Lonchura striata: one gene and its partner. Each later gene encodes a partner of the first gene's protein in a complex. Links are inferred from orthologs where the notes say so. Each region holds a gene or a part of one and is shown in the gene's direction. Other genes may lie near its edges.

Region 1 (11,069 bases):
ATTATTACATCTTTCAGAGCATTGTCCCTATAGAGTGTTCTGTTTTAAAGACAGAACAGTGCTGCGCAGTAATTTTGATTTACAATTATAAAGCCTCACACAAAGCCTTACACAAATTATTCCATCTGAATGTATGACAAACTTTCTGGAAGCATCAGCAATATTTCTGAGGATTTCTTGCTTCACTGCATTTACCTTGTTAAGTATTATTTTAAAAAGAAACTGGTTTACAAAAATCATAGAGTAAATAGAGACAAAGTGCTATTGCTGTTGGACTACCTTTTGTTCAGCTGGAAACCACAATCCTATTCCTTCCTTTGCAGCAGGAAAGTGAAACTGGAGATCTGTCATTCTTGGGTCCTGCTTTCTTTGTGAAAGCAAACTCTAAAACTAAGAACTTAATTCTGTACTTTAACACTGCTTTATTATACAAAAAAACCAATTTATTAAATATAGCATCTCTCATTCTTCAGAAAGAAAAATACATGCAGAGAGGTACATTTTTTGTTCACATTATTATTTCTCCCTTGAAATAAGTATGACTTTTTCCTGTCCTGTTCAAAAGAATAGGACAAATTTCAGGTTTAGGTGTGCTTCTAAATGAAGCATTTAAATATTGCCTGCCTTCTCAGTACTACACATGATGGGAGTTCACACTCCTCAAACATTATTCTTTAGGCAATTGCCTTTCAGTGATCAATTAATATCTGAAATCTTAGTTATTTCATCTTTCACATCCTTAATCTCAGTTTGAACTCTTGTTAGATTGGCCAATTTCTCATTCAGTAAAGCAATTTCTTTCTGCCGTTGCAAAACTTCCTCCACTAATCTTCCTATTCTCAGTGTTAGGTCATTTATTAAGGGCTCCAAGATGGCAAACTCCTTTTTAACTCTGTACATCTTAGGTTTCAAATCATTTGCAAATGCAACTGTCTTCAGAACTTTTGCTCTGTCACCTTCAAGATTCAAAAGTCTATCAGAATGCTTGTCAAAATTGCTCTTTAACTCAGACAGTGATGTCTTAATTTGCTCAATTTTTCTTGCGTTACTGGATGCCAGGCTTTGTATTTTCGTACTTCGGTCGATGCTACTGGTAAGGAGGTCACCTATATTTTTTACTGTTGCCTTTTCACCTTTTTCTACTTTATCTTCTAATGTTTGCAAAGAATCTGTCAGTGCAGTCATGTCTGAGACCAGGCCTGAAATGCGCCTTATGTCAGTTTTTACTGTCACAATTGTCAATGTTATGTTTTTTGCTACAGAAGCTGCATCCTGTTCAGCGCTTGAAACTGCATGAAAAAGGCTTGTTAAATTCTTCTCCAGTTCTTCTTGTTTTTTAATTATGCTGCTAGACCATGTTTTCATTGTATAAATATCTTCCTGCAGATATTTAATGTGAGAAATTATTTGAAGATCTTCCAGTTGTTTCATTAAGTTCCAAGTCTTTTCACACTAGAGGGATACAAAAATATTTCTAGCTTAAGAACTCAATGTCAAAATTCAAGCTATACTTTAATGAAATACCTTACTATTCTGACATTCAATTTGAGTGCAAAACCTGTCTCTAGGAAATCAATTTCTGTTATAACACAACCAGATTTTTTTTTTTCTTGTCAGTATACTTAATAAATGTTAGTACTTCTTCTATTGCAACAAAAAATTACAAGAAGGTGCCACGTGACTTTCCAAGGTGACCTCTGAAAACACAAATCATCAGTTCACTGTGTTACAAGTCTATGGAAAAAAATACACAAAGTAACAACAAAAGAAACTAGGTAGTGAAAACTAAATACAAACTAAAAATATTAACTTTCCCCCCCTTAAATCTAAATACCTGGCTTCAAATTGTTTTTAATAAAAAAACTGCAAATAATCCTTAATTTAAGAAAATATTACTTTCCTTCTTTAACAAAGTGTTACTTCCTTGCTCACTACCCTCTTTCTCCACCTTTCAAGCTGTTCCAATGATCTTTAGATCAGTGACAGTACATCAGTGATCTTTGATATAGGTTTAAATCACATTATTTATAAAAAAGTGCTTTTTCATCAATGAAAAGACTAAGACCAAATTCACTTATCCCCATTCTGGTCATTTTCGAAGTTAAAGCTTTCTAAAGTTACTTCTGCTTTTGAAGATACTGCTATGTCAGGCCCTGCTTCTAGAACAGCTAGCTCATGCAGCACTTTGAACAAGCTGCCATTGGACTGGAGGCCTTCAAGAGCCTTCTGCATCACCACTGTATCAGAAACAGTTTTCAGCATGTCATTTTCCACAGCGTACAGCTGTGTCTTCAAGTCCTCTATCTTTTTCTCCATACCAAGCAATTCACTTGACAACCTAAGAATGGAGTGAATAGCATTTTCAATTGTTGGCAAATGGCTCTTGCACTCCTCAATTTTAGGTTCATAGTTTGCAAGTTTCTGATTCAGGTCTGTGTCCTTGGCTACCAGACTATTCTGTTCTTCTTCTATCTTTTCAACTGACTTTGCATCCAAGTTCAACTTTTGTTCAACTCTAGAAAATTCATCATCTTCTTGCTTTTTTAGTGTTCTGATATTTCTGGCTGTACTGTCTTCCAAATCTCTTACTCTTTCTGCAAGGGATTTAATTCTTTGGTCAACTTCATTAATTTTGGAAGTAACTTCTGTATGAATGAACTTTGCTTCAGATTTTAAACCACTAGCATTTGTGTTCATTTCATCCAGACTTCTTCTCCAGGGATTTGTAACATTTTGGAACTTCTCATTAATTCTCTGCATCTTTAGAGATAGAGTCTGTTCATTGTTCTGAATATCATTTATGGTGTTATGAAGAGAAGATATTTCCTGCCCAAACTCAGTCATCACAGAGATGGATGAGGCAGCTTCTCGCAGGATACTTTCAGAAGACTCAAGCTGCATTTACAACACAAAACAATGTCTGTGTCTACTTAACAAAAGTAACAACAGAAAACCATTTCCATTTATTAAGAGATAATAAAGTCCCTTAAAAACCACTGTACTTGTTACAAAGTTCCTCCATGGTGTGTTTCCATGGTTCCTCTTTAAAATATCATTGATTAACCTAGCATGAAAAAGTATGTCTGTTGTTGAACTTCTATAGCATATATGCAATTTTCCATGCTTGTTTTTTTTTGTCAAAAATACAGTAAATCCCATGCAACACTTTGAAATCTGTAGTATATAAATATCCAAATTACATAATATATGAATGACATAATTCAGAGATCAGTGCTGAAATAAAATCACTGGCATGAGCCATGCCATGCTTCCATCATTATTCATAATGTATCAGGGATAATTCAGCAGCCAGCACATCTTTTCTACTGGATAATGTCACACGTGGTAATATCTTTTTTCATTACTATAGTATTTTCTTATCTATCACTTTATTATGTCTTCATATTATTAGAACAGGTCTGCTACATCAAAATGCCGGTACATTTTCTTCAAATCAATGTACCTAAGAATTGCACATGAAAGAGGAATGGTAAATGAAACATGCATATATGTAAGTTCTTAAAAATACTTTAGTTTCTAAAAAATTATACTGAGATACAACCTACTGGAACAATGGCATGGATTGACATGCTTTGTCACATGAAATAGTCTCTAAATGCCTATTCACAGGCAAGTAAAACACATTCTGAAAACTTGTTTTAAAACAGGCAGTTAAATTAATGAAATAACAGTGAAGTAAGCAATGACAAATGTTCACAAAAGATCATCCAATTGAGATGTTAATTATTACCTTTTCAGAAATTAAGTTTACTTTATTTCCCACATCCAGGATTTTTTCAGCTTCTTGATGTAAAAAATTGTACTTTCTTTCCAGATCAGAAAATTGACCTGACTGCTGAAATAGAAACCTGGAAATTTCAAGCAAATAAACAGAAAACGTAACTTCTTAATTAGTATATATTAAGTATTTCAGGACCTGATTCAGAGCAAATTGTTACTGGAGGGATTTGTTTTCACAAAATTTGCTAGATCAATATATGGCAAAAAAAGAAAAACAAATTGATCTGTCTTGATACTTCTACAAAAGGTATGACAGCAAGGAAGCATTGATAGATGTCTTTGCTTTTACACTGCATGCTAGGGTAACTAAGGCACTGATGCTGCTAAGATATTTTAAAACATCTTTAACAAAGGCATTTGACCTTTACTTAAGGACTCCACCTGATGAACGGTTTATTACACTGATGAGGAAATGATTTAAAGAAAACTCTATTTCACTTCTTCTGTCCATTTACTGCCTGCTCAACGAGCACTTCCTGTCAGCCTAAGTCGCTCTCCAGGAAGATGCAGTCTCCAAAGCAGGTCTTTAGAATTCCTGAGCAAGGCACCTTCAACCTCATGTAACAGATGGAGCTTCTACAGTAACTCACTGCACGCCCATGTTTCCCTGCTTGTAAATACTGCTACTCTTTCCTGGATCCTTCTGGCTCTAACATGTTTCTGTAGACACTTAGCTCAAGCTCTCTGCTAACATGAAAATCACACACCCCACAGAATACAAAAGAAAATACTAAAATCCTCTTTAGAGAGGGTTACCTACCAGCTCACCACCAGGCAAACAGCAAGGGAAACGACACTCAAGCTTGTCCTTGAGTCCATCCAAAAGGAACTGTGATTATTGCTGGTCCTGGGACTTGCCAGCTTCCCATAATTACTGTGCTTCTCAGCCTTCTGTGAATCTTCATTGGTCTTGGATGAAGAAATACCTTTTTTCCTTGTCTTAACTTCAGACATTTTGTGGTTTTAAAAAGCAGAAGCAAAGGAGAAAGCTAGGAAAAAAAAAACAAACAAGAGAAAGGACTTGTTTTTAACTTCTTACGTTTTAAACATCCTCAAACATAAACTGTAAGTACATAAATACACCTCCAAAAATGTTTCTTTTGCTGTTCACTATGCTTCCTAGTAAAGTATCATACTTTCACTTGCTTTCTATATTACAGAGCATTGCTATCATATTTTCTCCAGCTGAATTGACTTTCCAAGCTTAATCTAACTTCATGTTTCCAGAAATATTTTGTCTGTTATAGAATAAGTTGTTTTAAACATAGATTTAAAATTACAAGGATTAAAAGTATATTTCTTTTTGTAGCTGATGACTGTCACAAGTTCATCAGCAATTTCACTGATGTACTTGTGTTTTACCTGTAGATTTAAAAAAGAATTATCATCTACACCACACTAAAAGGGGAAAGTTAATTTTTCAATTTAAAAAATAAAATTGCAAATCAAGCTTTAATTTAGTAGCTCTGCTGTAATGATTTCATGTCATCTGTAAAATCACAAACATCAGTTAACAAAAAGTCATGATAAAAAAGTTCAGAAGATTCATTAAATCATTCCTCTAGAAAACAGAAAAACTTCCTGTTGATAAAATTAAGATCAGAATAGACTGAGGCAATATGAATCTCCAGCTCATATTTTAACCATCCAAGTGAAGTACAGAGTGTAGTTTTTAAGCCTAAAATCTCCCACCATACTCCTCAAAATAGACTTGATCCTTGTCAGAGTTGCTTTAGCCTAATTTGAGACCAAATTGTTCTGCTGGGGTTTTGGATCACTTAGCAGCATTGCTGCTTAGTCACATATCAAAATAGAAATATTTGGAGATACTTACATAGTCATGTACAGGGGTAAAAGGTATTGTTTAAAATCCAATCTGTCATGCAGGTAGTTTAGAGCTGTTTGAGCCACAGTACTAGGAAGTACACTCTGAGCTTGAAGCATGGAGAAAAAAGTTTTTCATTTCCAAAAAAAAAATCCACCAAAAGAACCCCCAAACAAAACACAAAACACACACACAAAAAAACCCCAAACCAAACAAAAAACCCCCAAAAAACAAAAAAACAAACACACAAAAAACCCCAAAACAAAACCAAAAAAAACGCAACCAAAACAAAAACCAAACAAAAGAAGCCACCAAAACGGAAAAATTGTATTTTGAAGCTTTTAAAACATCTTGGGGTTGGAGAGAATATATTATTAAGTTAAAATGGAGGGAAAAAAGAGAGCTCTGAATAATAGTTAGAAAAAGAGTTTAAGAGAGAAAAGCTCTGCTTTTAAAGGACAGCTTCTGCGCGCAGCCCGGTGCGGCAGAGAGGGATGAGCCGCAGCTCCCCAGAGACCCTTCCGGACCGGTCCGCTGCCCCCAGAGTGACCCACATCCCCTCTTCTTCCCCCAAAGTGACCCACATCTCCTCTTCTTCCCCCAAAGTGACCCACATCCCCTCCGCTCCCCCCAGAGTGACCCACATCCCCTCTTCTTCCCCTAAAGTGACCCACACCCCCTCCGCTCCCCCCAGAGTGACCCACACCCCCTCCGCTCCCCCCAGAGTGACCCACATCTCCTCTTCTCCCCCATAGTGATCCACATCCCCTCCGCGCCCGGGGCCCCCGGCAAGCCCGAGCCCGCCGTGCAGGATTCCCCAGCCCCGGCAGCGCCGACCTCCGCTCTCCCCTCCCTGCGGCCGCCGCCCCGTACCCGCCGCGCTCCTCCGGCCCCAGCGGCGGGCGGGGCCGCCCTGCCCCGCAGGCACCACGTTTGCAGGCCCGGGCCCCTCCCCTGGCCGCGGCTGCCGCACGCCGCCCGCTGCGCCACGTCCGGGCCCGCCCGCCGCGGGCGGCGATCCCGGCAGCACGGCCGGGCTCGGCGGCGCGGGGCTTTGTTCGGCGGCGGTGAGCGCCGAGCGGGCCGGGCACCGAGCGGGCCGGGCACCGAGCGGGCCGGGCCGGCCCTTCCCCGCCCAGGCCCGGAAGGAGGAAGCGCTGCCGGCGCCGCCTGCCCGGGAGCCGCGGGGTAGCGGCTGCGCCTCGGGGCTCGGCGGGGCTCGGGGCCGGCGGGGCTCGGGGCTCGGCGGGGCTCGGGGCCGGCGGGGCTCGGGGCTCGGCGGCTGCCGGGGCTCCCCGCTGCCCGCCAGGTGAGCGCCGTGCTGGACGCGCAGGGACGGACCGCACCGGACCGCGAGGGTTCCGCCGGGGCAGGGCAGGGGCCGGCGGGCGGGCGGTCTGAGCGCCTCGGTCTCCATTTGGTTGGCGGCTGGCAACAGCAGCACGCTGTGAGTTAACCCTTTGTTTTGGGTGTGTTTGTGGAGCGATTTCTTCTGTATTTGCCTCGCTTGTAGCAGTATTGTTATCTGTTTAGCGTCCCCTTTCCTCCGCTGTGCGGTGGGATGAAGGTAGTGTGCAAGGCTTTCTTAACTACGTAATTTTTAGTGACTATAGGAAATTCTGTCAGCACGGCGGAAGGGGCTCTCCATCACGGGCTTACCCAAAGGCAGCTGCTCTGCGTCTGCCCAGCTCCTGAAGGAGAGGGTGCCGGAAAAGGCCAACGCTTCTGTGTGTGCTCTGTGTGAAGCTTCGACTTGTTTATGGAGCTTTCCTGGCAGGAGTGTCATCAGAGAGAGCGTTTTGGTCGATTGGGACTCTCGGAGGCGCTGATCAGTTCTTTATGCCGTAGTCAATAGTTTTCACCTGTTTTCTTCAGACATTTGGTTTTTTATGATATGGAGGGAGAATGCAAGTTTGAAGTTGCGTGTGCAAATGCTGATAAAGGAAGGTACAGCGCAGTCAATGGCAGTGTTGGTGCTCCCTCTTCCATCATGTCAGGAGCCAAGTGTCCTTGAACTTGGAGACAACAATGCGTTTATCCCGTGCAATGAGGCCAGTCCTCTTTCTCATCCTGTTGACCCAATCACATAATCCAAGGACTTAAAAAAAAATGGGGGATGTAGTGAGTGGGGAGAAGACCTTTGAATAGAGACATTTAGCAAGATGCTAGTATATGAGAAGCTTGTAGTCTTTGGTTTTGTAGTTCTGAAAGTGTTCATAAACATAAATTCATAGGAATGGGAAAAAAAAATGTGTATTTTCAGAATTAGTGCTTTGCTACTCCTTCTGATTTTAACACCAAAATTTATAAGCTGTTCTAAAACTTATTTCCTCATGCTTGTAAGTTATGTTCCCAGTCTGACTTTACTTTCCCCCACTCTTTTTCACTCTGAAGAAATATGGATGTCAAGAGTAGAAACTATTTACTTATGAATCGTCAAGCACTGGAAAATGACATCAAGACTTCTTATATTATGGATCGTATGATTTCTGATGAAGTATTGACATTACAGGAGGAGGAGAGAGTGAAGCAACAGGTAGAATTATCTCTCACTGCTATTTCTTTCCCTAATCTACTCACATATTTTACCATCCTTTTAAAAATAGTAATTTCTGACTATCTAATTCCTGTATTTATCGAATTCTAGCACACAGTTTTTGTTGCTCAATAAAGTTAAGGGCTTGGTAAATTAAAGACTATTTCTGTAACTATAAATAGTCTATAATTTACAAAGTGATAGATTAAATTATTTTTGGAGTTTCTTAGTTTTGTAATACCTCTTCTAATTTTTTTTTTTCTAGAATACACGGAAGGAGCGAGCAGCTATGCTAATAAACATTATTCTTACAAAGGATAATAATTCATATAGATCCTTTTATAATGCACTGCTCCACGAAGGGTACAGAGATCTTGCTGCACTTCTTCAGGACGGCATCCCTGCCGTCTCGTCTGGTAACAGAAAAAGTTCAATGGATGGAATGACTTCCTACGGTCAGTGTAACTACAGCAATCCCTGTGCTGGAGTGTGAACAAAAGTTGTCTTTTTTAATCCTTAGAAAGTGGCTATGTGTAATACCTGTTCCAATGAAAAAGGAGCAGTTGGTGCATTTGTTTATTTTGGTAGTATAGTAACTATGTCTATTTCTTCTGCTTAATATGGCAGGAGAATTACAACAGTTACTATTTTTATAGCTCACCTTGAAAGTGTTCATATTGAATAATGCTGATTTTAAAAGGTAGAAGAACTGATGCTCTTATTATTTTCTCTAATTTGTAAAATTTTTGTTGTAAGTGAAAGACAGACTTTCATTTGTATCTATTAAAATAAAAACTTGTAGCCTCCAAAATTCTGATATTTATTTTGAAGAGTAATCTGGAATCTCTCAACCTACATTGATCTAGTTGATCATTGATTAATTGATCTAGTTATTAGGTTACTTAATTCTTTCCATCAGATCTTTTAGTTACCTTGTATAAGTTCCATAACTTTTACCCGCATTGTCATCAGGATCATCTTCGACATGAAATAAATTTGTAGTTTCTAATGGGCAGAACCTTCTAACTGCATATGACTAACTGCCATATTTACTGGCACTCTGCATGTAGTAAGTGTCAAAGGCATGTGGAGTTCAAGGCTATCTTAGATAATCAAAGTTTATCAGTTATGTCACTTCATATAGCCACAAAGTGGGCAGATGAAGTGCACGTTTCCTTTTCTGTTATGCTTTACCTCTTTCAAGTCATGCTATCTCAGCTTAAAGCAGTGGAAGTCTTGCTTGGACCCCAGTGCTGTGCTGTGAACTGCCAAGGAAAGGCCCTACACAGCATCCTTTCTTTTTTGCTGCATCCACGGTGTGCTGACCTCTGGCTGAGAAAGTGACTTGATTGTTTGGTATAGTAATGTTGACCTCCTGTGTTTGCCACATTTTCCATGGGAGATATTAATTCTCTCTTCACTTCTAGGGATTAATGTAATAAGCTTTCCCAATGCAGTTATTAATTTGAACACTGCTTTAGGTAGGGAGCTAGTTACATGCTAAGTATTTTTATTTCTAAAAAGCAGTATTTTTTTGTTATTTGTTATTTGTAGTCCAGCATATTTTAGGGCATTTTTATAGGACATGAGGTGGGGAGGAAGCCCACTAGTTATTTTGGATGACGAGTTGTTTGGTTGAGTATGAAGAGGCATCTCATTTAGAACTCATGTTTTATTTTGATGTTTCTTGTTCTTAACTTTAGTGAAGACCATTCTCTGCGAAGGAGGCGTACCACAGAGACCGGTTGTTTTTGTCACTCGACCAAAACTGGTAGATGCTATTAAAAAGAAACTGTACTGCTTGGGAAGTGATCCAGGTTGGGTCACAGTTTATGGAATGGCAGGCTGTGGGAAGACTGTTTTAACAGCAGAAGCTTTAAGGGATCCTCAGCTCTTGGAAGGTACTTTCAGAAAAGCATCTGTATTTTTATAAAAATCACTGTAGATTTACACATATTGGACATGAATGGTGCATATGTCACCTTGAAAGTGATTTGGATTTCTTAATTTCTTAGGTGATTCTGAAATGTTTGCTTGCAATATACAACTTCCATAACCATGTGGTGGTCTAGGACCACTAAGTGTTCTATTAGTTTGTAGAAAAAGGTTTTGAATAGCTTTTCACCTTAGAATCTGCTGTGGTTTATGAGAGTACGTGCATCCTTGATTACCTTAAAATCTTTATTTCTTTTAGTGCAAAATAATATATCCAGTTATATTCCTTTTGGGCATTGCTTATAAGGTCCTCTGACTCCTTGCTATATGAGTTTAAAAAACTTTTTAATAGTAGCAGACATTTGTGGGTGATTAGTATTGCCTTAGCTTAAAGTAGATCATAGATACAAACATTTAATGGCATTTTTTCTATTTTATTTATTTTTCCTTGCATAGGACACTAGGAGGAGAAAGTAGGACTTGGCATTAAAGAAAAAACGATGTAGGGTTAGATACTATAGCATCCTCTGCTACAGCTGACTCATCTAGGTATCTTCTTGATCACTGTCATACCCCAGGCTCTGAACTCTTGCAGTACTACATGGTTAAAAATGTAAATGGTAGGTCAGACGAGCAGAAAGATGGATGCAGAAGGGGCTGTGGAGGGACAGGAAGGAAGACGTGTAGAAAGGAGGGACAACAGCATCAGTGATGGTGTGAAATTTCTGTGGGTACTTGTCTTACAGAGTCTGTTCCTTTTAAAAATAAACAGGAGTGGTCTTGTAGAACCACCCTTGTGTGTTAATAGCAGAGTTGCAAGGATGGCTTGCAACAGATTTTAGAGATTTGTGTTTCAATTAATGCTGACTTACTGCTGTAAGTTGCTATAAAATATTTTAAATTATTTAAAATGTATGGCATGATTAATATTGCTTTTCTTGTTAGATTACTTTCCAGGAGGAGTTCACTGGA
Region 2 (11,066 bases), on another chromosome or scaffold:
CTGCAGAGAAACTGCATTTTTTAGCAGGGAAATAAGGATTTATTTTGATTTCCATGGGCTTGGCTGCCACAAACTGGAGTAAACAATTTCCAGAACATGCAAATAACTACTGCTAAGAATAATTTGAGGTGACTAAATCCCTGTGATGATGAATGGTGCTTACATGACCCCAAAATGCTTTTATGTATGTGTGACACAGTCAGGACGCTGCACAGCCAGGCAGGGCTTGGGGAATACCCACTCCTTTTTTCTTTCAGGCTTTTTAGGCAGAGCAAATTTTTTGGGTAGATAATGTCCACCTCCACAGAGTCAAGCACCTTTCCCACATAGAAATACACTGGAAAAACACAAAACCATGTATGGAAAACTAAGGTCACTTAATGTTAACGATAGCAGGAGTTCACAGGAAGCATGTATTACCTCGTAGGCCTTACTAATCTGGATGAATTTGTCCTCTGCTCCTGGGTCCTTGTTTTTGTCAGGGTGCCTGTGGGGCAGAACCAGAGGAAAAGGGGTCAGTAGGAGCTGCTGGCCTCTGTTTGGAGCTGAGGGGGACATGGGCAGTGAGGGCGTGCACTGACATCCCCGAGGCTGAGACCAGATTTATACCCAGCACGTGCTGTCACTGCCCAAACCCCATCCCAAAATGCAGCAGTGGGATGTGTGCCATGTGCCTGTGGACCTGTCCCTCTCTCTGCTCCTTCCCAAGCAGCCTGAGCCCAGGGCATGGAGCGTGTCTCCTTCCTAGCAATGCCTCCCTTGGCTGCTGCCCTACATAACTACCGGGTTCTCCCTTGAATCACCAGCTGCCACGGCCTCAGGGATGTCTCACACAGAACAACATGGGCTCTAAAAGCTGCAGGTAAGCAACTTTATTCATTTTATTTCCATGCCTAAGTCTGGCCCTCACCACACACCACCTGCATGAGGGGCACGATGCTTGTGCATCCAACACATTTCCCGTCCACAGCACAGGGACTGAACGGCCCTTGGACACCCAGGCATCAAGCTGAGACTTCAGCCCTCATCAATTACAAGTTCCCAGGGAGAATTTTTTCTCCCCACAACCAGACTCCAAGAGAACTTTTACCCCCATTGCTTGACTCTGGGAGAACTTTTTCCCCTTGTAGCCAGATTCCAGGAGAACTTTTCCCCGCACAGCCAGACTTAGGGAGAACTTTTCTCCCTGTCGCCTGATTCTGGGAGAACCTTTTCCCTTTGTAACCAGACTCTGGAAGAACTTTTTCCTACAGCCACACTCTGCGACAATTTTCCCCCCACACAGCCACACTCCAGGAGAACTTTTCCCTCCGTAGCCAGATTCCAGGAGAACCTTCCCCCACGCAGCCTGATTCTGGGAGAGCATTTCCCCTGCTAAGCAGACTCTGAGCGACCTTCTCCCCCCGCAGCCAGCCTCCGGAGGGTTTTACAGCGCGTATCGGCATGGGGCATCTCTGTATGCCAGGCCGGCCTGCGAGGAGCACAGCGGGGCCAGCGGCTGAGGCCGCCGCGGGGCCGGCGCTGCCGCCGAGCCGCGGCCGGGGCCGCTGCCGGCGGGCGGAGCGGGCGCAAGGGCAGCACGTACCATTCCCGGGCGAGCCGCTTGTAGGCCTTCTTGATGTCGGCCTGGCTGGAGCTCCGGCCGACGCCCAGCACGCGGTAGGGGTCGAAGTCGCCCGGCGCGGGCAGCGGCAGCAGCAGCAGCAGCAGCAGCAGCGGCAGGCCGCCGGGCCGGGCCGGCTCCATGGTGCGGCGGCCGCGGGCGGAGGCGGCGGACGCGCCGCCCTCCCGCGCCAGCGCCGCCGCTTCCGCCGCGCCCGCCCGCCGTCCCCATGGAGACCCGGCGCTTCCGGGACAGCGGGGCGGCGCTGGGCCCTGCGGAGGAGCTGTGCCGGCGCTGTGGGGCGGGCTGGGCTGGGGATGGGGCGGCCGGGAGCGCCAGCCGGGTCCGGGACAGCCGGCAGCGCCAGCCGGGTCCGGGACAGCCCGGAGCTCCAGCCGGGTCCGGGGCAGCCCGGAGCGCCAGCCGGGTCCGGGGCAGCCCGGAGCGCCAGCCGGGTCCGGGGCAGCCCGGAGCTCCAGCCGTGTCCGGGATGTCCGGGAGCTCCAGCCGGTCCCGGGGCAGCCCGGAGCTCCAGCCGGGTCCAGGGCAGCCCGGAGCTCCAGCCGGGTCCGGGGGCAGCCCGGAGCTCCAGCCGGGTCCAGGGCAGCCCGGAGCGCCAGCCGGGTCCGGGGCAGCCCGGAGCTCCAGCCGTGTCCGGGATGTCCGGGAGCTCCAGCCGGTCCCGGGGCAGCCCGGAGCTCCAGCCGGGTCCGGGACAGCCGGCAGCGCCAGCCGTGTCCCGGGGCAGCCCGGAGCTCCAGCCGGGTCCGGGACAGCCGGCAGCGCCAGCCGGGTCCGGGGATGGCCGGGAGCTCCAGCCGGTCCCGGGGCAGCCCGGAGCTCCAGCCGGGTCCGGGCACAGCCCAGAGCTCCAGCCGGTCCCGGGGCAGCCCGGAGCTCCAGCCGGGTCCCGGGACGGCCGGGAGCTCCAGCCGGGTCCCGGGGCGGCCGGGAGCTCCAGCCGGGTCCCGGGGCAGCCCGGAGGTCCAGCCGGGTCCGGGGATGGCCGGGAGCTCCAGCCGGGTCCGGGGGCAGCCCCGAGCTCCAGCCGGGTCCCGGGGCAGCCGGGAGCTCCAGCCGGGTCGCGGGTCCCGGGCCGCTCTGCTCTGCGCTGGGGCGGCCTCGCCGCAGTGTGAGGGCAGGTGTGGGTACCACAAAATAACAGAGATATGGAGTGTTAGAAAGCGTCCAGAGGAGGACAGTGAGGGTGGGGAAGGGCTTTGAGGGGAGGAGGAGCGGCTGAGGGCACTTGGGGTGTTCAGCCTGGGGGAGACTGAGGGGAGATTCATCCTCTGAGAGGGAGAGACACACACGGATCTCTGCTCTGGTGACAGTGGCAGGACCGAGGGAATGGCTGGAGCTGTGTCAGGGCAGGGTTAACTTGGATGTTAGGGAAAGGGTCTTCCCCCAGAGGGTGGTCGGGCACTGAACAGGCTCCCCAGGGAACCGACACAGCACGGAGCCTGTCTGAGTTCCAGGAGCATTCGGACATCACTTCTGGGGACATGATGTGACTCTGGGGGTGTCCTCTGTGAGAACAGGACTCAATGATCTGTGTGGGTCCCTTCCAACTCAGCATGTTCTGTGATTCTATTTTGGTGGTGTGTTGTTTTTTTTTTTTTTTTTTTTTTTTTTTTTTTTGTTTTTTTTTTTTTTAATCCAAAGTCAAAGACTTCTTTCTTGAATTGTGCTCTGGCAGTCAGGAGACTCACTAAGGAAACTGGGAGGGAGCATGGATGGGACAGGTGACCTGAACTGGCCAAAGGGATATTCCACACCACAGAATGTCCAGTGCATCAACTGAGGGGAGTGACTGGGAAGGAGCTGATCTGGGTTCAGGAAAGGGATCTGACATCAGTCAGTGGGTGGTGAGCAACTACATTGTGCATCACTTGTTTTCCCCTTTATCATTGTTATTATCGTTGTTGTTGTTATTGTTATAATTTACCATTACTACAGTATTTTACTTTATTTTCAATTATTAAACCAGTATTTTCACAACATACAAGTTTTACTTTGATTCTCCTTCCCATTCCACAGGGTGGGAGGGGAAAAGAAGGGGGGAGCTGAGCAAGTAGCTGCGTGGTACCTAATTTGCAGCTCTGCTAAACCCACAACAGTTGGCTTAGGGAATGTGGGTTGGATGAATGGGTGGTGAGGTGGATCAAGGGCTGTCTGGGTGGCAGAGTGCAGAGGGCATCATCCACTTGGAGGTCTGCAGTCAGTGGCTTCCCCAAAGATCAATACTGGGCCCAGTCTTAATCAGCTTGTTTATCAACAATCTGGACAGAGTGATGGAATGTACCCTCAGCAGGTTTGGTGATGATATGGAAATGGCTGATCCACCTGAAGGCTGGGGGACTGGGTGACACACCTGGGGGACTGGCTGATCCACCTGAAGGCTGTGCTACCATTCAGCAGGACTTTGAGAGGCTGGAGAATTGGACAGAGAGAAAATTAATGATGACCAGCAAGGGCAGATGTAAGTCCTGCCCCAGGAGGAACAGCCCCAAGTACCAGCACAGGCGGGGTGACCTGCTGGAGCATCTCTGCAGGAAGGACCTGGGGGTCCCACGGTCAATGAGCTGTCCTGGAGCCAGCAGAGTGTCCTGGGGGCCCAGAGGCCCTGGGGTGCACTGGGAGGAGCACTGGCAGCAGGTCAGGGAGTGACCCTGCCCCTCTGCCCAGCCTTGGGAGGCACACCTGGAGTGCCCTGTCCAGCCCTGGGCTCCTCGCCAGCGAAGGTGAGGAAGGGCCTGGAGCAACTCCCTTGCTGAGGAAGGGCTGAGGGAGCAGAGGCTGTTCAGCCTGGAGAAGAGACACAGCTGGGAGGGGCCCTCATCCCCGTCCCTGTCTGTCCCTGTCTATCCCTGTCTGTCCCTGTCTGTCCCTGTCTGTCCCCGTCTGTCCCTGTCTGTCCCCGTCTGTCCCTGTCTGTCCCTGTCTGTCCCTGTCTGCAGGGACGGCTCAGCCTCTGCTCCGGGGGGACCAGAAATGGCACAAGAGCAAGGGGCAGGAACTGATGCACGGGAAGTTCTATCTGAACACAAGGAAGAACTTTGCTGTGCGGCTGACACAGTGCCTAGAGAGGGTGTGGAGTGTTCATCCCTGGAGATACTAAAAGAAAAACCAAAACAAAACACCAAGACACAAAAGGACGGAATCCTGTTTCGTTTGCTCTGGCATGGCCCTTCTGGGGCACACCAGGGCTCTTCCAGCCTGACTCCGTGTGCGATTCTGGGACTCCGAGGCGGCGGCTCCGGGCTTTGAGCGGCGGCTCCGGGAAGGCACCGGGGGCGGGTCCGGGGCAGCGGGGCGGGTGCGGGGCAGAGCAGCGGCTCCGGAAGGGAACCGGGGGTGGGTACGGGCACTGAGCGGCGTTTCCGGGGCTGAGCGGCGGCTCCGGGCACTGAGCGGCGATGCCAGGCATTGAGCGGCGGCCCCGGCCATTGAACGGCAGTCCCGGGCATTGAGCGGCGGCCCCGGCCATTGAACGGCAGTCCCGGGCATTGAACGGCGGTCCCGGGCACTGAACGGCGGTCCCGGGCATTGAACGGCAGTCCCGGGCATTGAACGGCGGTCCCGGGCATTGAACGGCGGTCCCGAGCATTGAACGGCGGTCCCGGGCACTGAACGGCAGTCCCGGGCATTGAACGGCGGTCCCGGGCCGGGCGCGGTCCCGGCCATTGAACGGCAGTCCCGGGCATTGAACGGCGGTCCCGAGCATTGAACGGCAGTCCCGGGCATTGAACGGCGGTCCCGGGCATTGAACGGCGGTCCCGGGCATTGAACGGCAGTCCCGAGCATTGAACGGCGGTCCCGGGCATTGAACGGCGGTCCCGGGCACTGAACGGCAGTCCCGGGCATTGAACGGCAGTCCCGGGCATTGAACGGCGGTCCCGGGCATTGAACAGCGGTCCCGAGCATTGAACGGCGGTCCCGGGCACTGAACGGCAGTCCCGGGCTGGGCGCAGTCCCGGGCATTGAACGGCAGTCCCGGGCACTGAACGGCAGTCCCGGGCTGGGCGCAGTCCCGGGCATTGAACGGCGGTCCCGGGCATTGAACGGCGGTCCCGGGCATTGAACGGCGGTCCCGGGCCGGGCGCGGTCCCGGGCAGTGAACGGCAGTCCCGGGCACTGAACGGCAGTCCCGGGCATTGAACGGCGGCCCCGGGCCGGGCGCGGCCCCGGGCCGGGCGCGGTCCCGGGCACTGAACGGCAGTCCCGGGCACTGAACGGCAGTCCCGGGCATTGAACGGCGGTCCCGGGCATTGAACGGCGGCCCCGGGCCGGGCGCGGTCCCGAGCATTGAACGGCGGTCCCGGGCACTGAACGGCAGTCCCGAGCATTGAACGGCAGTCCCGGGCACTGAACGGCGGTCCCGGGCATTGAACGGCGGCCCCGGGCCGGGCGCGGTCCCGGGCATTGAACGGCAGTCCCGGGCATTGAACGGCGGTCCCGGGCACTGAACGGCGGTCCCGGGCATTGAACGGCGGCCCCGGGCCGGGCGCGGTCCCGGCGCCCCGGGGCCATGGAGCAGCGGCAGCGGCGGGCGCTGCGGCGCGGGCGGGCCCGGCTGGTGGCGGCGCTGCGGGTGGAGCCGCTCTGGGAGCCGCTGGAGCAGCGCGGGCTCTTCACCCGGCCCATGCTGGAGGAGCTGCAGGTGGGCCGGGGAGCGGGACACCGAGCACCGGGGCTGGCCCGGGGACCGGCATGGCGGGGTAGCTCCTGCATCCCCTGAGCCCTGGTGACACGACTGAAGGGTGGCCCCCATGTCTCCTCACCCTGGTGACAGCCTTGGCAGGGGTGGCTCCATGTCCTCTTGGGCCCAAAGGGGGAACCCATGTCCCTTGAGCCTGTGAGAAGTCACGGGTGGCCCCCAAGTCCTTTCACTCTAGGGACAGACGTGGGTGAGATTGTCCTGTGTCCTCTCAAGTCCAAGGGAGACCCCAGGTCCCTCCACTCTGCTGACAAGCTCATAGGGGAGCTCCATGTCCCTTTAGTCCTGGTGACAGGTGCAAAGGGATGGCCCTGTGTCCCCTCACTCTCGATGACAAGGCCTGACGTTGGTCCTTGTGCAGATAAGATGTTTGAGAACTGCCTTCCCCCACTTGTCCCTTCTTGTCCCCCGCCAGTGCCAGGTGTAGGGGTTTCTCCTTTTGTCCCCATCCCACTCTGGTGGCACCCTTAAGGTATTCATGTTTCCCCCCTTGGTTACAGGTGACAGGCCTGGGGGTGTTTTTACCCCATCTTACACACTGGTGACAGCCCAGGGGTGCCTGGGTGCCCCTGGTCCCCAGGAGCCAGACTTGGGGTTCTCCCTTTCCCTCTTTCCCTCTAGACCCCTCACTGGGCTGGGTTTCCCAGTCGTGACCATTGTTGTTGGAGGGAGGTCAGGGTCTGGTGGGGGTCTCTGACTATTTCCACTCGGTTTTGCTCTTGTTTACCCCATGTCCATGTCCTGGGTGTGGATCCCACATTCCCCTGCTCAGAGCGGTCGGAAGGGCTGCCCAGGCACTGCATGAGCCCCTCTCGTGGGATTTTCTCCTCTGCAGAGTGCTGGCAGCCGGGGAGAGCAAGCCCGGCAGCTGATCATTGACCTGGAGACCCGGGGGAAGCAGGCTTTCCCTGCCTTCCTCTCCATCCTGCGGGACACCGGGCAGGGCCACCTCGCCGAGATGCTGATCCAGGAGTGCGAGTCCCGGCCGGTGCCAACGGAGCTGCCGGACCTGCAGCCCGTGGAGCTGGAGCTGCAGGAGGAAAAACAGCGTAAAAGTCAGTGCTGAGGGTGTGCTGTGTTTTTGGCAAACAGCAGCATGGGAGGTGGCAGCTGGGACTCGTCTCCCTGTGGGCAAGAGTCCAGAAGTCATGATTTTTAGTATCCTGGTAGAGGTGGCTGTTGGGAGAATCATGGAATCCCAGAATGGTTTGAGTTGGAAGGGACCTTAAAGCTCATCTCATTCCATCCCCTGCCATGGGCAGAGACACCTTCCACTATCCCAGGTTGCTCCAAGCCCTGTCCAGCTTGGTCTTGAGCACTGCCAGGGATGGGGAGCCTCTCCACAGCAGCCTTTCAGGGCAGCCTGTGTGTCCTGCTTTTCAGCAGTGGAACCTTTTGAGCTTGGACTCATCCTCTGTATTTTTGTCCCATGCCATTACAGATGTGATCCCTCACGAACGTTTGTCTATCCCAGTCCAAGCTGAGAGTGAACGACCTCGAATGCCTCCTGTGCCAGCCCGAGGTAATCCACATTCCACTTCTAGAGCCACAGCATGCCAAAGGCTTGTTTCCAGTGTGGTGGGAAGGGGAAATTCATATGTGGTGGGAAAGACATGAACTCTAGGAGTGTGGTCTTGTTGTGGAGTGCGGTGAACTGAATCCTGTGTCTGTTTTGTGTTGTAGGTTCAGCTGTTGACAAGAGGAGCCGTGATCAGGTTAGTATTTGAGAAGGCTGTGTCAGGGTTTGACACTAGCACAATGCCAGTGCCCCAATGAAAATGTAACCTATCAATTGAATGCTGTGAAATGCGATCGAGAACAGAGCAAAGCAGGCCAAACTTAATAACAAGGGGAAAACTTTATTACACTACTACTACTACTACTACTATAAAAGAAAAAAGGAAGAAAAAAGAAAACACACACAAAATTCAAACTGAAAACCTTTCAAAACATTCCTCCTCCCATCACCCAACTCCAACAAACCACAGCGAGACACATTTGGACTCTTAATCAAGTCTTCACCCTTCCACATAATCAATCCTGAGTCCATCAAGGGAGAGAGGAGTCTCCCTTGCACCATAGACCCCCAGGAAACACAGCTGCCACTTCTTGTGTTTCCATGTCACATGTGGCACTGCCTGGAGAGAATCTGCCAGTGTGACACTCTCCTCTCCATGTCACAGTGCTCTCACCACTGTGCATGGATGGAGACTGCTTATAGGGCCCCTTTAAGGATGCTTTGCCAAGGACCAACAGGAACAACAGTCCAGTGTCTCATTTTGGGACTACAGTCCCCCCCATTTTCCCCTGGGGCCGGGGGTCCAAGAACAGAGATTGCCTTCTCTTCTTCTCGGAGGACAGAGGGCATCATCACACCCTCCTCAGCTGACATCTGTTCATTCCTGAACTGGGAGTTGCTGGAGGAATTTCTTGGCTCACCATTGCATCCCCCTAGAATGCAGTCTCTCTTGGAGGAGAAGTTGGTTCAGTCTATGGCTGACAAGAAGAGTCCAGCCAAAAGCCACTCGATCATCTCCCCCCAACCTTCTTTCCCTAACAACTAAGGTCCCCAGCTGTCTCTCCTTCAAATTGAGGAGGAGCAATATTTCACAAAGCCTTCATTTCACAGGAAAGGGTTAAAATTCCCAAACTCCCTGGACGACTGAAATCTCTGGCCCAGGAGGCTGTGCTGTCTCCCACACTGGGCATCTTCCCCCCACCCCGTCCTCCTTCTCTGCTGGCAAACTCCTGGGTGTCTGAAGGCTCTCTATGTCTTTTCCTCTAGGCTGGGGGGGCAACAAAGACATCTCAGACGTTCTCCACCCTTCCATCTGCAGGAACTGGCCCAGCTCGGTTTCAGACCCTTCACCCCCTGGCCTACCTCTGCAGGCCACATGGCTTCCCCTCCCCACCCAGCTCATGGCTGGGCAGGAGAGGTTTGCACCCTCCCATGACCAGAACCAAAGAGAGCGAGTTCTCCTGGGAGTTCTGCTTTTTACCCCTCTGTGTTCTCAGAGGCGTGTCCATCCTCAATTGGTCACCCCAAGTGTCAGTATCCAAACCTGACCCCTGACTGGACTGACCTCTTCCTTCCGAGAAAATTCTTTTTCCGTGTCAAACCACGATAGGCTGAAAGTGTTCCCTACTAGGCAAAAGCTCTGTGCCTCAGGGGTGACTCCAGAAAATGTTCCTGGAGGAGCTGGATCTCACCTTGTCTTACCTGAGCAATTGCTCCAAGGCTGTAACAGGGCCGATGGTCTCAGAGTGGATCAGTCATTAACCAGGTCCTCCTTAAGATTGCCACAGCGATAACATAAATTCTTGGCTCCTTTTGGTGAGGTTTGATGATAATGCCTAAAAGAAGTTCCCAGAAATTTCAACTTGCTGTTGGACATGCTACAAATAAAGCAGCAGCCAGGTTTCCACAAAGGCTTTGCCCAGTTTAGTGGGTTGCCTCTTGTTCCTGGCTGCTGATGAGAAGATGTATGTGGAGAAAGGGTACTCCTACCCATCCCTAGGACTAGAGAAATGAAAAAAGCTGTGAAATGAGCCACTTTAAGGACTCCCATTCCTCACTGGCATTGTATCCTGCTGGATTAGCCAGCAAGCTCTTGGAATAAGAAGAAGTTCAATTGTGACGTGTTCCTTCCAGGATTATGAGATGAAAGCAGATCCCTGTGGACACTGCCTGATCCTCAATAACGTCAACTTCTGCAGAGACTCGGGTCTGTCCACGCGAGAAGGCTCCGACATTGACTGTGAGAAGCTGGAGAGGCGCTTCAAGGCCTTGTGCTTCACCGTCCTGACCCGGCGGGATCTGAAAGCTCAGGTGAGGCTGCTTGTGTCCTGCTGACACGAGGGATGAGAGGTGAGCCCCTGGAAGTGATGGGAATGCTTTAGGGGATGTGTCTTGTGTTTTGGCAGCACATCAAAAACCTCCCATAAAGAAACAATGAACCACTTGCATTCTCTTTCTTTATTGTTGTGCTGCAATTGCAGAAGAGGAGAGGACCTTGCACATTTTCATCTTACTGCATGAAGTAAGGTTGGGATTTGTAGGGATTTGGTGAAGACTGTGTTTTTGGGATAGCTTGGACAACTTTATCATGTCTGTCTGTGCCGTCCTTGGCCATTACTGGAAGCATCAGGGGGAACTTGATCATCTGAAAGTAGAACATGGTTCTCTGCTCACTCACCAGCTCCCAGTCAGAAGCAGTGGATTTCATCAGATAAATCATGTGGAAATGTGCTTTGGTTTGTGGTGCTGTGTTGTAAAGAATATAGAGAGGTGAGAAATCTGCGTGATTAAAGCAGACAGTGTTAAATAAGGGCAGAGATGCAGAAATACTCACTCTCTGCCAATGACTTTTGCCAGCTGTACTTGGGGCTCATGCTATCCTGTGGCAGAGATTGGATCCATGGCAGTGCAATTAGAACAGGGCCTGGCAGTAACCTGTGGCCAAGATATGGTTCAAAAGACTATCGTGGTGATGTTTTCCACACAGGAAATGGTGTTGGAGCTGCTGAAGCTGTCACGGCAGGACCACAGTGCTTTGGACTGCTGCATTGTGGTCATCCTTTCCCATGGCTGCCAGGTGGGTTTGTCCCATCTCTCTCCCCTTTGTTCTATGGGATGGGAAAGAGTTAATTCTTTGTCTTGTGGTCTCACACAGGGTGAGAGGGACGTGGTCTGTCAAAACCTTGTTCTGCCATTGCAGTACAATTTTAAGAGTTACACCCTTA

Evidence for each region.
Region 2: the proteins of APAF1 (region 1) and CASP9 are in contact, whole or in part, in a crystal structure (PDB 4RHW), measured with the Homo sapiens proteins. The link is inferred for Lonchura striata from reciprocal best matches to the Homo sapiens genes APAF1 and CASP9. Residues at the interface, in NP_863651.1 of Homo sapiens: Thr22, Ser23, Tyr24, Met26, Asp27, Ile30, Ser31, Ile37, Glu40, Glu41, Arg44; in NP_001220.2 of Homo sapiens: Asp23, Trp26, Asp27, Leu30, Arg36, Pro37, His38, Glu41, Gln44, Arg45.

What each region holds. Positions count from the first base shown.
Region 1 is NC_134607.1:55,458,477-55,469,545, forward strand, and holds the start of APAF1 (apoptotic protease-activating factor 1), read left to right. Parts: upstream 1-6,875; 5' UTR 6,876-6,935; intron 6,936-6,945; exon of another isoform or gene 6,946-7,073; intron 7,074-8,020; 5' UTR 8,021-8,024; coding exon 8,025-8,162; intron 8,163-8,427; coding exon 8,428-8,617; intron 8,618-9,865; coding exon 9,866-10,063; intron 10,064-11,042; coding exon 11,043-11,069. Other genes in the region: IKBIP (inhibitor of nuclear factor kappa-B kinase-interacting protein), read right to left, coding at 2,071-2,895, 3,752-3,869, 4,562-4,755. UniProt on the Homo sapiens protein: Oligomeric Apaf-1 mediates the cytochrome c-dependent autocatalytic activation of pro-caspase-9 (Apaf-3), leading to the activation of caspase-3 and apoptosis. This activation requires ATP. Isoform 6 is less effective in inducing apoptosis.
Region 2 is NC_134626.1:7,670,597-7,681,662, forward strand, and holds the start of CASP9 (caspase-9), read left to right. Parts: upstream 1-6,134; coding exon 6,135-6,266; intron 6,267-7,158; coding exon 7,159-7,378; intron 7,379-7,764; coding exon 7,765-7,845; intron 7,846-8,006; coding exon 8,007-8,038; intron 8,039-9,975; coding exon 9,976-10,152; intron 10,153-10,828; coding exon 10,829-10,918; intron 10,919-11,066. Other genes in the region: DNAJC16 (dnaJ homolog subfamily C member 16), read right to left, coding at 421-487, 1,586-1,746. UniProt on the Homo sapiens protein: Involved in the activation cascade of caspases responsible for apoptosis execution. Binding of caspase-9 to Apaf-1 leads to activation of the protease which then cleaves and activates effector caspases caspase-3 (CASP3) or caspase-7 (CASP7).